Arabidopsis thaliana: one gene and its partners. The protein of the gene in region 2 interacts with the protein of the main gene of each other region in a biochemical or structural test. Each region holds a gene or a part of one and is shown on either strand. Other genes may lie near its edges.

Region 1 (5,275 bases), on a different chromosome or scaffold from region 2:
ATATGGACCACATTGGCACCAATAAACCTAATACCAAAAGTGTAGGTTCGGTGGTCATGAATGATGATGTGGACTGAATAATCGACATTTTTGAGTTGGCTTTATCGTGGAATATCAACATCATTTTGACATTTTCTATAAAATTACAACATATTGTAAAAGAGACAGATTCTGAACTGATTGTTTATCAACGTTTCTTGTAATCATAAACCAAAATACTATGTCACCTAGTTCATATCTTGGCCAAATTTCGCAGACAATGTTGCGTTAGATTCAGAGATTCCAACTTTTACGGTTTCTAAGTTGTGAAACATTTGTTTACGCACATTTGAATATTTGATTCAATAACTTGCAACTATTTCATTTTTGTCCAACCTTGTTTTTATGTTTGCTATACTATATCGTTTACTAGTTGAAAAATATGTTTGATATATTTGTCAACAATGTATCTTGTGATTATGAACATAACATTTTCACACAAAACCGCAACAGAAAATGCAAATATATGCATTTGAAACAACTAAGGCTTATATATATATATATATATATATACTAAATACAAATGATCACATACATACTAGCAAAAGAAAGATGGACCTATGAAATTGCTTCAAATTTCCTCATTATAAGAGTTGTAAACAAACACCATTCCAAGTACGATTTCAACATTTACAAGTAAAGTACACTTACATTTCAGGAGAATAAGACAGCCCGCTTTACTTACACACTCAAATCAAATCCAATGGCACAAGAGGAGTGTACTTACTCTTAACTCTGGTCCTTGTAAGGTGTCCAAATCAGTTTGCTAGCATCTACATCAAGACCACCTCGGCCTGCAGCTTTCAGATGTCGGTCCAGAACCTTTGGATCCGCACAGATCACATGCTGTCCTTTCCTGTACTGTATCAGTTCTAGGCTCTGAAGTGTGCTTAATATATCTTCCGCTTTGATTGCTGTCACGTCGCTCAGCTCCTACATCATCATACATGAAACAGAGACAGATGAGTGGATTCTTAGATCGCAGAAACCAGGATTAGCCTAAGACTTTTTATCAGTTTGAAACACAATCTAACCTTGATAGAAATGTTTCCCTTATGTTTTTTCAAGATTTCTAATAGAACACGAGTCCAATAACCTCTGTAGCTTAGTAAGCCTAGATCCGACAAGGGTCTTTCCGGTGTCCCAACTTTTCCCTCTTTCTTTGACAGTTCATAGGCTGCAACTCAGAAGAACAATCTGTTACTTATTTTTGTGGACATGGGATTGAGAAGAGCAAAAGGGTCAAATGGGCAAAGAACTTACAAAAGGCTATTAAGAACTTTCCATAGCCTTTTCTTTGATATGAAGGCAGGGTTAGAATGCAAGCTAAGTTGTATGCTTCTTCCGAATGCTTCTCCTGGACCCAGTAGAAGTTACGTTTATGAGCAAACAGGAAAATGGAAACCAAACATATATGTAACTACTTTGCTATATTACCTTTGAAAAGTACCCAACCATGTGGCATCCTCGGTCATCACATTCGCAAAGAACGTAGAATAGAAACAAATCAACATCGTAGTAAAGAGTTTTGTGGTCAAGAAATAACTTTGCCAGGTAGCAGAGATTCTGTGCATAAACCTTGTTCTTTTTGCCATCTACCTGTAAGATGAGAGTACGGTTAGAGAAAAACGTTCCTGCTAATGTAGAACATAACCAGATGAGAGATAAACTAATCAGCATCCATATACGAAAAAAAAAAACATAAGAGAAAGCTAACGATACATCATATCCAGAGCAAGAAGACCAGAGACCTATCTCAGGATATTACCTCAAACATTGACAAGGTACCACTTCGGTAAATTTCATCACCAGGTGGGTGCTTCAGGTCACACTTCCTCTGCAGGAAAAAAGTAAGGAAATTATACAAAAGCTACAAGATAAAATAAAACCATATAAATGCAACTTTAATGAACCGTGAATGTGGATATGCAAGTCAGTGACAATATTCAACAGAATCTGAAAGGTTGGGTACTATCTTCAGCAATGAAACTGGAATGCAAAAACATAGAATACAGATGTGAAACCAGACTATTGAAGCTCGCAATGGAAATGTAATTAAAAAGCATCATAAGACTTCAAAGATAAAGAAAAACAGTTGCTCACCATATGCCTTTGAAGCTGCTCTTTGCGTTTCATGAAGTTCAGGCAAAACTCACAAAAAAAGAGCTTCACACAGTCATTGTATTCTGGCGGAAAAGGGGAGAAGTACCAAGTCTCAATCTCATATTTTCCAAGCTCAATTGTTGATATGTTCTTCACTTTCGTGAACTCTTCATGTTCACGCAAACTTGCTGCATCCAGCTCTTCATGACCCTATAAAAACATTTCGAAACACAGAATACTGAATCAACACAAACCTTACGTTTCCAGGACCCGCCTTATATTGGCATTCATTACCTCTATATGTGTCTCATCGATCTTCCTCTTCTGGTGACGTGTCATCTTCAAGCTTGTTACCTAGAAACCACAGACATAAATCTCTGCTCATTGCTAAACGTATATGAGAAAACTCATGAAATCCACATTATGCAACTAACAATACAAAACTAGAGAACGCACCTTGTCTTCCACTTTTTCATCTACAGCGCACTCTACTGAATCAAGGTCCAGTTGGTCCAGCTGAGTCCATTCATCCAGCCTCCTATTAACTGCAGTTTCGAAAACAAATTACCAAAATCAAACACATTGATGATCATAAGATTTCAAAATCACCAACTTTGTCATCATATTACTCAGCTTAATCACAATAGTATAAATGGTTCAAAATCTTTAGAAGCAAAGTATAATGCAGAATTTGATCTCCTTCTCAAAAATCTCACACAACTTGAAGCCAATTCCAATGATCCAATTGATAAAGTCTTGCAATTTAACTCTTTTTTCTTCCTACATTATAAACCCTTGACTAAATTTCCACCTTTGTGAAGCTCAACAGTACGAATCAACCAAAATTGAAAACCCTACATCAAAACTTGATAAGGAATTAAACGACATACACTCAGTGTAATGAACGTAATACTCGTAATCATTTTGACCGCCGTTATGTATCCGCCGGCGCTCAATTACTTTCACCGGATGGTGTTTCCCGTCTCTCCACCGACACATCACACGAGTACCCACTTCTAGAGGAAGCATCCCCATTTTCCTCTTCTTCGACGGATCCGACTCTATAATAGCTTGATCAGGAGTTAAAGGAGGAGGAGGAGGATGAGACCCATCAACGCCGTTCGTAGCCGGAGGCTTTTGATTCGACGACGGTGGCGGTGCGTTGCCGTTGGTTTCTGTATTCGCTGACGATCCCATTTCTCGGTCGGGTCGGAGATTCCCGGGTGGGCTTTCTTTCTCATACGAGTAAGAGAACTAGAGAGAGAAAAACGGACACTTGAAATAAATCAGGCCCATTAGTAACTTTTCACATAATTGGGCCTATATTTATGGGCCGTTAAAAATATTGATATTTAATGGTGTGAAGTACATACATTTTCACCGGGATCACAGTTTATTCATAAAATTAGAAAGTTGTTTGATCATGTAAGAATTATCTCGAATCACATTGAAATATTTCTGTAGTAAAACGAATTAGATTTGAAAATATATGAATCATACCCATGGCTATTTAGTGACTATTAATGCATTGTTTGAGCTAAATAATTTGGTTAGACGTTAAGTTCTTGCAATTATCTCTAGGATGTGAATGAATGTATAACTATGTGGCAAAAAGAAAGAAAATATATTAAATGATTTCGTTAGCAAAATGGATATAGCTAGGTTTCCATGAATCTCACTGACATTTCATTGTGTCTTTATTAAAACCTATGAATGTGAGGAGACACAAAAGTCAGCGGAAGTATCCATGAGTGAAGTGAACAAGGAGCATAGGTTTCCTTGAATTAACCTCTCTGCTACTTTTCTGAGATTTTCTGACCAACAAGTGTGGAGCAAAGCTCTGGTGGTTTAATGCTTGTTTGTAGTCAAAGGTTTTCTTTTTATTATTGGGAAGGTAAAAAGAGATCTTGCAACTGTTTTAGTTGAACTTCTATTCATTAATTCGAAGACAAAACGAGCAAGTACATTTTCTCTGCACCATCCTCTTTATAATATGTCTCGATATATACTCTCTTTCTGGAGTAGAGTATCTGTATACCTTATCGGTTTGTTGTAATTTGAGATTACTTTATATTACAAAACATCATTTTATGGGATGATTGTCGTAATTTTCATTATGCTAAACGTTACTATAGCTAAACATTTTTCGTTAACATTTTTACAACAAGTATAATCGGATACGTTTAGTCTGTTAGACTTTTTAGTTTTCAGGTGATGTTTAATCGGATACTAACAAGTATAATCTAATAGACTAAACGTACGGATATTATTTTCATAACAACTTTTTTCTTTTTGGATTTTTCGTTGCTAGTTGTGAAGCTATATATTAAAAAAAAAGCCCTAAAGCTTATTGTAATTTAGGAATTCTTAAAGCTTATTCTAATCATAACAAAACGATTTTCAATATGTATAGGTATTAACGTTCAAAGTGAGGTATGTACGTAAAAAGATGAAAATGAAGCAATAGAGTACATTCATATTATATGCTCTAAAATATAGTACTTCACAAATATATGCGTTGTGTGTATACAAAGACAAAAGTCCACAGTAATGATAACACTATTTAAATAGGGTTCTTTGATGGCGTCATGGTTCTTATGCCCGAAAAATGCCCGGCCAAAACTTGTATACAACCAAACTCCAAATCAAGAACTTATTATTATATACGAAATGATAACATAATATTAAATATATGGTGGTACACAACTCAAGCTAACCGTTATGATTATTCCACAACCTTTTCACGGTCAACAACAATATATTATATATCCTAACAAACCCTTATTTCGTATCCATTTTTATTATATATAAACACTTTCCATAATTGCACCATTACTCACACATTATAGCATAATTTAGTTACTACTAATGGAAATGTCATCTTGTCTAGATTAATTCTCCTACTCCTCTTCCCCCACGGCCGAAACTTGGCGGTGGTGGCGGTGAAACCCATGACGTCGTCACCGCCTGAGAAGCTTGATCTTGCGGCGGCGGAGGAGTATATCCGGTATTATTATTGAGTAGCCGGATCTGCCGTTTCAAGAACTTGACATAGCGTATAGCTTCATCGAGCATTGAAGCCGTATCCATTTTAGTGCCACCTGGCACGAGTCTCTGAAGAATTCTGATCCTC
Region 2 (2,918 bases):
TCAGAAATGGTGAAGAATTCATATTTAGACGTTTTTTTACCAACGATATTCGCAGGAGTTATGGTCATTGCTTCTGTTTCTTTATTACGATCATGTTTTGGTATTGAAGGTGTTGTAGAAGAAATCGAAGAACAATGTTGATGACATTTTCGTCATATCTATGGGTTATATGTATGTAATTGATATTAATTAATCAATAAGGGTCCTTAGCTCAGTGGTAGAGCAATTGACTGCAGATCAATAGGTCACCGGTTCGAATCCGGTAGGGCCCTTTCTTTTTTGTTTTAGAAACTGTTTTCTTGTTTATATTAACCGTTCATTTTATTTGATCTGACGGTGATGAATGTATCGTTACAAATATGTGTTGGATCGATGACGTGTCATTAGATTTCACAAAACTCTGAATAATTTTCACAACAAATTCTTACACTAGGGAATGCGAAAATGATTTTTTGCAAGAAATATTATAAGCCAATTAAGTGTATGAATCTTATATATAAAGCTAAGAACTTTAAAACGCTCACATTGAGTCCATATTTGTCATTCGATTCTTATACCTCTAAACTTTAAATTGCTCACATTTAGTCCTTATTTGTTTTTCAATCTTCAAAAACATAGTTCAATCAATTCCTTTGATTAGTTTTCGATTGATAATCCTTTACCATGAATTTCAGAGATTAAAGAGTAATTAGAGCAAATGGTACTTATCATTAATCCATTACAATGCTGCCCTAATTACAACACAAAACGAAACCCTAAAATTCAACCCAATTTCTGGAATTTCTTGATCGCAAGACTTAAATCATCATCATTCACCAGAAAACCCAGATCTCAAATTGATCAACCACCAAATCCATATAGAGTTCTTCCTTGTCTCTTCAAGGCATAAACAACATCCATAGCAGTCACCGTCTTCCTCCTCGCATGCTCAGTGTAAGTAACAGCATCTCTAATCACATTCTCCAGAAAAATCTTCAACACACCTCTCGTTTCTTCATAGATCAATCCACTGATTCTCTTCACACCTCCTCTACGAGCAAGACGACGAATCGCTGGCTTTGTGATTCCTTGAATGTTGTCTCTTAGAACCTTTCTGTGTCTCTTTGCTCCTCCTTTGCCTAACCCTTTTCCTCCTTTTCCTCTTCCTGACATTTTTGTTTTTCCAGAAAGTTTTAAGATTTGAGTTTTCTGATGAGTAGAGAAGAATTTATTTTTTATTTATAAAGAAGATTGTTTGGGTTAGAAAATGAATCGTGACCGTTCGTTTTATTGTTTGATCGGACGGTCAAAGATAACGATCCGTGAGAAAGGTTTATGAGATATATGGATCCTTGATTATTAATGAATCGACGGTTGTAGATTGGGTTATTATGTTAGTCACGGATTGTGGATTTTTGATTTTTCCTTTTGAACCAAGTGAGTCAACCGGACCGGTTATATGTACTAAATTACAATGGATATCGAAAATAATTAGTATAACTATGGAGTATATTTTACTTTTACTTTTCAGCTACCATAAAAAAAGGTAAATTCTCAGATCTCTTTTTTTACTATCCATATATTTTAAAAAATTTAAAAATTGTTTTTTTACATTATTATTATTTGGACAAGTTGAATGCACTTGGAAAAAAAAAAAAAACATATTCTACTATAAGGGTTTGAATCCAAATGTGGTATAGTGGATATGTTGAACATAACTCCATTGAATTAATAGAAACAATTACTGTGTACTAACCGTAAGAAGAGACGAGACTCTATTTTTGTTGGAATGTTCTGGTTTGAAGCATTTTTACAGGACAACGTAAGGATGTGTGCTTTAGCTAGAATGAAGCAATGTCGTTGTAAGGAGGTGACGATTATTATTCTAACTGAAAACCATATTGTTATAAAGCCCTTGAGCTCCAAAGCTCTTGTATATCTAGTCTTTTTGTTTTCTCCTTTTTTTCTATAACTCAAAAACTCCACTGATGGTAAATTACAAGGTGTTGTTCTTGCTGAAATGTACTAGGATCATATCGATCTCGAAAAACTCGTAAAACGTGTGTTCTTGATTTAATCTCCAAAGTGAATACCATGAGTGTTTGTCATAGAATTCTCAACAAGTTGAAGACTTATCTAAATCTTGAAGAATGAACTCAAAATTTCTGTTATAAGATTTCTTTCAACTACAAAATGATATGCAAAATATTGGTATTAGCTTCATACCATAACTAGACGCACAAATCTTGATGAAAGAAACTTGCAGCCAAGAAATTCCTTCATGAATCGCATTCAACACAAAGCTCATCAAAGATCAAAACTCTGCTCTTCTCCAATGGTTTTTTCTTGCAAAGTCAACTTGTTAAGGTATATTTGGATCGGTCCTTTACCAAAATGAAAGAAAAAAACTATTCCGCTGCCGGGTTTGAACCCAGATTTCATCATTGAAATAAACATGTGTGCTACAGCGGATTGGTTGAAAGTATCTCCAATTAACTAGTATATACCCTGTCTAATTAATACTCTCTACCTATCACGTGTTAAGACCGAACACATATTAAGAGAAAGAGAGGAGAGCCACTAGTTTTGTTTAAGTGTTCTCTTAACAATGTGTGTTCTTGATTCAATCTTTTAAAAAAATGGTGTGAGTGATATATAATGTGGTTCTTTGATTGTACCAATTGACATATACTAGATTCATAAATCAGAAACTCAAACAAATACTCAGATTAAACACCACTATTAACTATTATCCGTTAATTTGACAAAAGAGTTTTGACTATCCCAATTTTCACAAGATATATGACTCATTCTGTCAACTAAGCACAAATCATCGTAATAACATCTTAGTAACAACATGTTAGTCGTATTTGGAAGAGATAAGCACTATCTTGATGGATTTAGTTGGTCCCACACTAAATCCGGAAATTATACAATTA
Region 3 (4,592 bases), on a different chromosome or scaffold from region 2:
TTTGCTGAATGTAGTTATCTAGAGAAAGTGGTCTCTAATATTTATCAATTGGTGTGCAGGTCAATGGTAAATTTACAAGTGACCAGAGTCTAATCTACAATGTAAGTGCCTTACAAGATTGGTGCAACGTGGATGTATTAGAAATGTGTGCTCTATTTTTTGTCTTCGCACAATCCAGAGTTTGGTGAGTCTCTTGAAGCTTTACATCTGAATAAGTTTCTCTGATTTTGCCTTCCTTTCAGGCTGTTCTGGATGCACATAATTCTGTAATCTCTGCGATGAAGCCAGGAGTAAACTGGGTGGATATGCACAAGTAAGTCTTACTGAGATGCTATATAGCTCTGTTCTACTATGCATGCAGATGCAGTAATTGGGATTGACAATGTAAGCGTAAACTCAGTTGCTTTGGTCCATTTTGATTTATCCTCTTGTTAGGGAGATAAATTGAAATACATCTCCATATGGTTATTCAGCTTTCTTTGTCGACTGAAGCAAATTAATGTACAGGTTAGCTGAAAAAATCATCCTTGAGTCACTGAAGAAGGGGTCCATACTCACTGGGTAATTCTCTCTGTGTTAGACATTTCAATACTCTTCTCTAAAGGTTAATTCATTCTCATGGTTTCGTTCTCTGTTCCTAGTGATGTAGATGACATGATGGTACAGCGCTTGGGTGCTGTTTTCATGCCTCATGGACTAGGTCACTTCATGGGCATCGACACTCACGATACTGGTGGCTACCCAAAGGTACATCAAATCTTTTTTCAACCCAATAGTATCATCACGTAAATAAAACCACAGTCCCTGTGTCTTACCCGTTGCTTTGATCTTTCATTCTTTTAGGGAGTGGAGAGACCAAAGAAACCTGGATTGAAGTCATTACGAACTGCAAGAGACCTACTTGAAGGAATGGTAAGGGCCGATTGTTTCAAGTAGAAATGCTTTTGGTTCTTCTCATTTATCGTCTCTGTTCATTGTCCTAATCGTATTTATGTCAGGTAATAACGGTGGAACCAGGATGCTATTTCATCAAGGCATTGCTGTTCCCAGCCATGGCAAACGCAACAACCTCTAAGTTCTTCAACCGTGAAACAATAGAGAGATTCAGAAATTTCGGAGGTGTCAGAATCGAAAGCGATTTGGTAATGTCAAATTCATATTCACTACAACGTCTACAAGTTAAAACACTCTCAAGAGTAATGTCATATACAATAATCTCATTTTGTTGTATATGTGTGATTTCTTTTTTAGGTCGTTACTGCTAATGGCTGCAAGAACATGACGAATGTTCCACGAGAGACATGGGAGATCGAAGCTGTGATGGCTGGAGGGCCTTGGCCACCGACCAAGTGATCGTAGCTACTCTTAGGCAGCTTATGGAAATTAAAAACTTGATAAGTAAAACTCAATAATACAACCTTTATTTTTGTTAATGGGAATAAGGAAAAATTGCCTGTGTTTTACTAATCTTGTACATGTAGTTTATTTTGTTTCAGTGTCTTGTTTGTGTGGTTGGATATTAAACCGATTGAATGTTCAAGTGGACAGATAAAATCTAACCGGTTTGGTGCTTGTCGACGAAAACCGAACCGGTACAGAAAATATCTTGAGCACAATTTTAGTTCTAATATAAAATTCATTAACAAGAGAGAAAAAAAAAACTTCAAATTAAAAGCTTCGTGTCTTCATAAAACCCTAATCTCGCGACTTCGTCTCTATCCCCAAAAACCCTTTCCTCTCTTCCTTCTTGTGTGAGACCGAGAAAAAAAGATGACTAAGAACAGTAACCACGACGAGAATGAGTTCATCAGCTTTGAACCAAATCAGAACACGAAGATACGCTTTGAAGATGCTGATGAAGACGAAGTTGCTGAAGGGTCTGGTGTTGCCGGCGAGGAAACTCCCCAAGATGAGTCCATGTTCGACGCCGGAGAGAGCGCCGACACCGCTGAAGTAACTGATGATACCACCAGTGCCGATTACTACTTCGATTCTTACTCTCACTTTGGTAAATTCCCTTTTTTCAAGTTCTATTTTTTTCCTTGTGCTCTTTGGTTATGAATTCTTACTAAGAGTTGAATTTGGTTCCACTTTTTTTTGCAGGAATCCATGAAGTAAGTATCGAGGACAAAGCTCAGTTTTTTTTGTTATAGTTTTTGTTCTAGAAGTTTAATGTAATTCATTGTGTTTTCTTCTGTATATATCTGATGACTGAATTGAGAATGGTATCTGACAGGAGATGTTGAAGGATGTTGTGAGAACAAAGACTTATCAGAATGTTATTTATCAGAACAAGTTTCTTATCAAGGACAAAATTGTTCTTGATGTTGGAGCTGGAACCGGAATTTTGTCTCTGTTCTGTGCCAAGGCAGGAGCTGCTCATGTCTACGCTGTATGTCTTCAATCTTTCAGTCTCTTTTTTAATAATCATAAGTAAGAAGAATCTTTTTCAATTTTGACTGATTTGATTGAGGATGTTTCTTAATAGGTTGAGTGTTCTCAAATGGCTGACATGGCAAAGGAGATTGTTAAAGCTAATGGATTTTCTGATGGTAGGTCTTTTATCCATGTTGAGTTGTATTCAAATCGATAACTTCTGTTCTGTAACATGATTTTTGTTTTATCGATGCAGTTATTACGGTATTGAAAGGGAAGATTGAGGAGATAGAGCTTCCCACTCCTAAAGTGGATGTGATTATATCGGAATGGATGGGTTACTTTTTGTTGTTTGAAAATATGTTGGACAGTGTCTTGTATGCTCGTGATAAATGGCTTGTAAGTTACAGCTCCACCTTGTTACATGAGATTCTTAGTTACCAAAACCAATTAAATGAAATCTTCTTGGTCCTGTGTTTTTATGGATAGGTTGAAGGTGGAGTTGTGCTACCAGACAAAGCCTCTCTGCATCTTACAGCCATAGAGGATTCAGAGTACAAAGAAGACAAAATCGAATGTGAGTGCATTGATTTGACACGTTTTCTCGTCTTTTTTTTTCCAACATTGATCTTGATGTCTGTTGAGATTTGCATTTTTAATTTCTTTTTTGTTGTTCTGCTACAGTTTGGAACAGTGTGTATGGTTTTGACATGTCATGTATTAAGAAAAAAGCTATGATGGAACCACTTGTTGACACAGTCGACCAAAACCAAATCGTCACCGATAGTAGGCTTCTAAAGGTATATAAGATATCATATGATGATGATTAGTAGTATCTCTTTACCTGTGTGACTAATGTTCATTTCATTATTCTTATGGGTTTGTAACAGACGATGGATATCTCAAAGATGTCCTCTGGTGATGCTTCCTTCACAGCTCCCTTTAAGCTTGTTGCACAACGCAATGACTACATCCACGCCCTTGTAGCCTACTTTGATGTATCGTTTACCATGTGCCACAAGCTGCTGGGCTTCTCAACAGGTTCAGATCTCTACAATCTTGTGCTAGCTCTGAGTATTCTATTTTTTTTTGGTGCAAAGAAATGGCATGTTATCGAATAACTTGGTTTGAAGTTTAAACATAGCACATTGTTTCATTATGATCTGAAACTTGCACTGAACAACCATATGTGTCACATGCAGGACCGAAATCCCGAGCTACACACTGGAAACAAACAGTTCTGTATCTAGAAGATGTGTTAACCATATGTGAGGGTGAGACAATCACTGGAACTATGTCCGTTTCTCCTAACAAGAAGAATCCTCGAGACATTGACATAAAGCTAAGCTATTCTTTGAATGGCCAGCATTGCAAGATCTCAAGGACCCAACACTACAAAATGCGTTAAAGTTCTCTCATAAGAAGCAGAACTTCAGAAGATACAATTCTCATATTGTGATTTAGTTTTTATATTTCTTTTTCTCCAGATTACAACTTTCCATTTGCTTCACATTGCAACATTTGCTTCATCTCAAGTTAAATTAATGATTTTGCTCTAAACCATCTCGTGTATGTTCCTTGTTGATCACAAAACTGATGTCTGTCAACACTTTTCAATATTCTCTCCAAAAGATTATAGAAACTAAAGGAAATCTACAAAAAGCAAGTGTGAAGAAAGAGTACATTAAACAAAACCAGTTTAAAACTGTTTCTATAGCTCAGACTTTCCGGATTTAGGTTTCTTTGAAGAAGACGATCCAAGTCCTTTCCACCATCTCCGGACCCGGTTTGACACTTTCTGTGCATGTCTCTTCAGAGCCTCACCTTTCTTCTTGAACTCCTTAGTGATTGTCTTCTTCAATTCTTCTGTTTTACTCTCTTTCTCTTTCAAAACTTTTCCCTAAAAACCAACAAAACCATACAAGTGTTTTAGAGAAAAGAAAGAAAGATCTCGGTTTCCTTCTTCTTCATGAAAGTTTAACCCAAAGATTTGATCATTTGAAAAAAGAAACTTTATGTACCAAGTTCTTGGGAAACTTATCATCTTCTTCCTCATCTTCATCATCGTCGCCATCATCATCTTCATTACCGATATTCCCCTTCTCTATATCTTCTCTAGAGTATACCTTCATGCCAGGTGCTCCTGGCATACCCTGAACATAGCGGTAAAGAGTAAGCTTAAGATCATTCCATGGATATGCATTCCTTGCTTAGTG

The links. Proteins that work in one complex are often made in the same cells at the same time.
Region 1: of the proteins of HIS4 (region 2) and HAM2, one has a biochemical effect on the other in vitro, tested with the Arabidopsis thaliana proteins (one study listed by BioGRID).
Region 3: of the proteins of HIS4 (region 2) and PRMT11, one has a biochemical effect on the other in vitro, tested with the Arabidopsis thaliana proteins (one study listed by BioGRID).

What each region holds. Positions count from the first base shown.
Region 1 is NC_003076.8:3,021,373-3,026,647, forward strand, and holds HAM2 (histone acetyltransferase of the MYST family 2), read right to left. Parts: upstream 3,392-5,275; 5' UTR 3,340-3,391; coding exon 3,033-3,339; intron 2,688-3,032; coding exon 2,599-2,687; intron 2,497-2,598; coding exon 2,437-2,496; intron 2,353-2,436; coding exon 2,143-2,352; intron 1,877-2,142; coding exon 1,808-1,876; intron 1,639-1,807; coding exon 1,477-1,638; intron 1,397-1,476; coding exon 1,303-1,396; intron 1,217-1,302; coding exon 1,074-1,216; intron 973-1,073; coding exon 769-972; 3' UTR 560-768; downstream 1-559. Other genes in the region: HEC3 (basic helix-loop-helix (bHLH) DNA-binding superfamily protein), read right to left, coding at 5,029-5,275. UniProt on the Arabidopsis thaliana protein: Histone acetyltransferase which may be involved in transcriptional activation. Acetylates 'Lys-5' of histone H4 (H4K5ac). Essential for gametophyte development. Negative regulator of flowering controlling the H4K5ac levels in the FLC chromatin.
Region 2 is NC_003071.7:12,328,803-12,331,720, forward strand, and holds HIS4 (histone H4), read right to left. Parts: upstream 1,258-2,918; 5' UTR 1,153-1,257; coding exon 841-1,152; 3' UTR 543-840; downstream 1-542. Other genes in the region: AT2G28725 (forkhead box protein G1), read left to right, coding at 1-141. UniProt on the Arabidopsis thaliana protein: Core component of nucleosome. Nucleosomes wrap and compact DNA into chromatin, limiting DNA accessibility to the cellular machineries which require DNA as a template.
Region 3 is NC_003075.7:14,489,969-14,494,560, forward strand, and holds PRMT11 (arginine methyltransferase 11), read left to right. Parts: upstream 1-1,653; 5' UTR 1,654-1,770; coding exon 1,771-2,008; intron 2,009-2,103; coding exon 2,104-2,114; intron 2,115-2,236; coding exon 2,237-2,392; intron 2,393-2,488; coding exon 2,489-2,552; intron 2,553-2,632; coding exon 2,633-2,775; intron 2,776-2,865; coding exon 2,866-2,953; intron 2,954-3,060; coding exon 3,061-3,176; intron 3,177-3,266; coding exon 3,267-3,417; intron 3,418-3,578; coding exon 3,579-3,784; 3' UTR 3,785-4,033; downstream 4,034-4,592. Other genes in the region: AT4G29490 (Metallopeptidase M24 family protein), read left to right, coding at 60-101, 243-313, 508-561, 642-747, 844-912, 999-1,142, 1,252-1,353; AT4G29520 (nucleophosmin), read right to left, coding at 4,088-4,276, 4,398-4,529. UniProt on the Arabidopsis thaliana protein: Methylates (mono and asymmetric dimethylation) the guanidino nitrogens of arginyl residues present in a glycine and arginine-rich domain. Type I arginine methyltransferase active on both histones and non-histone proteins.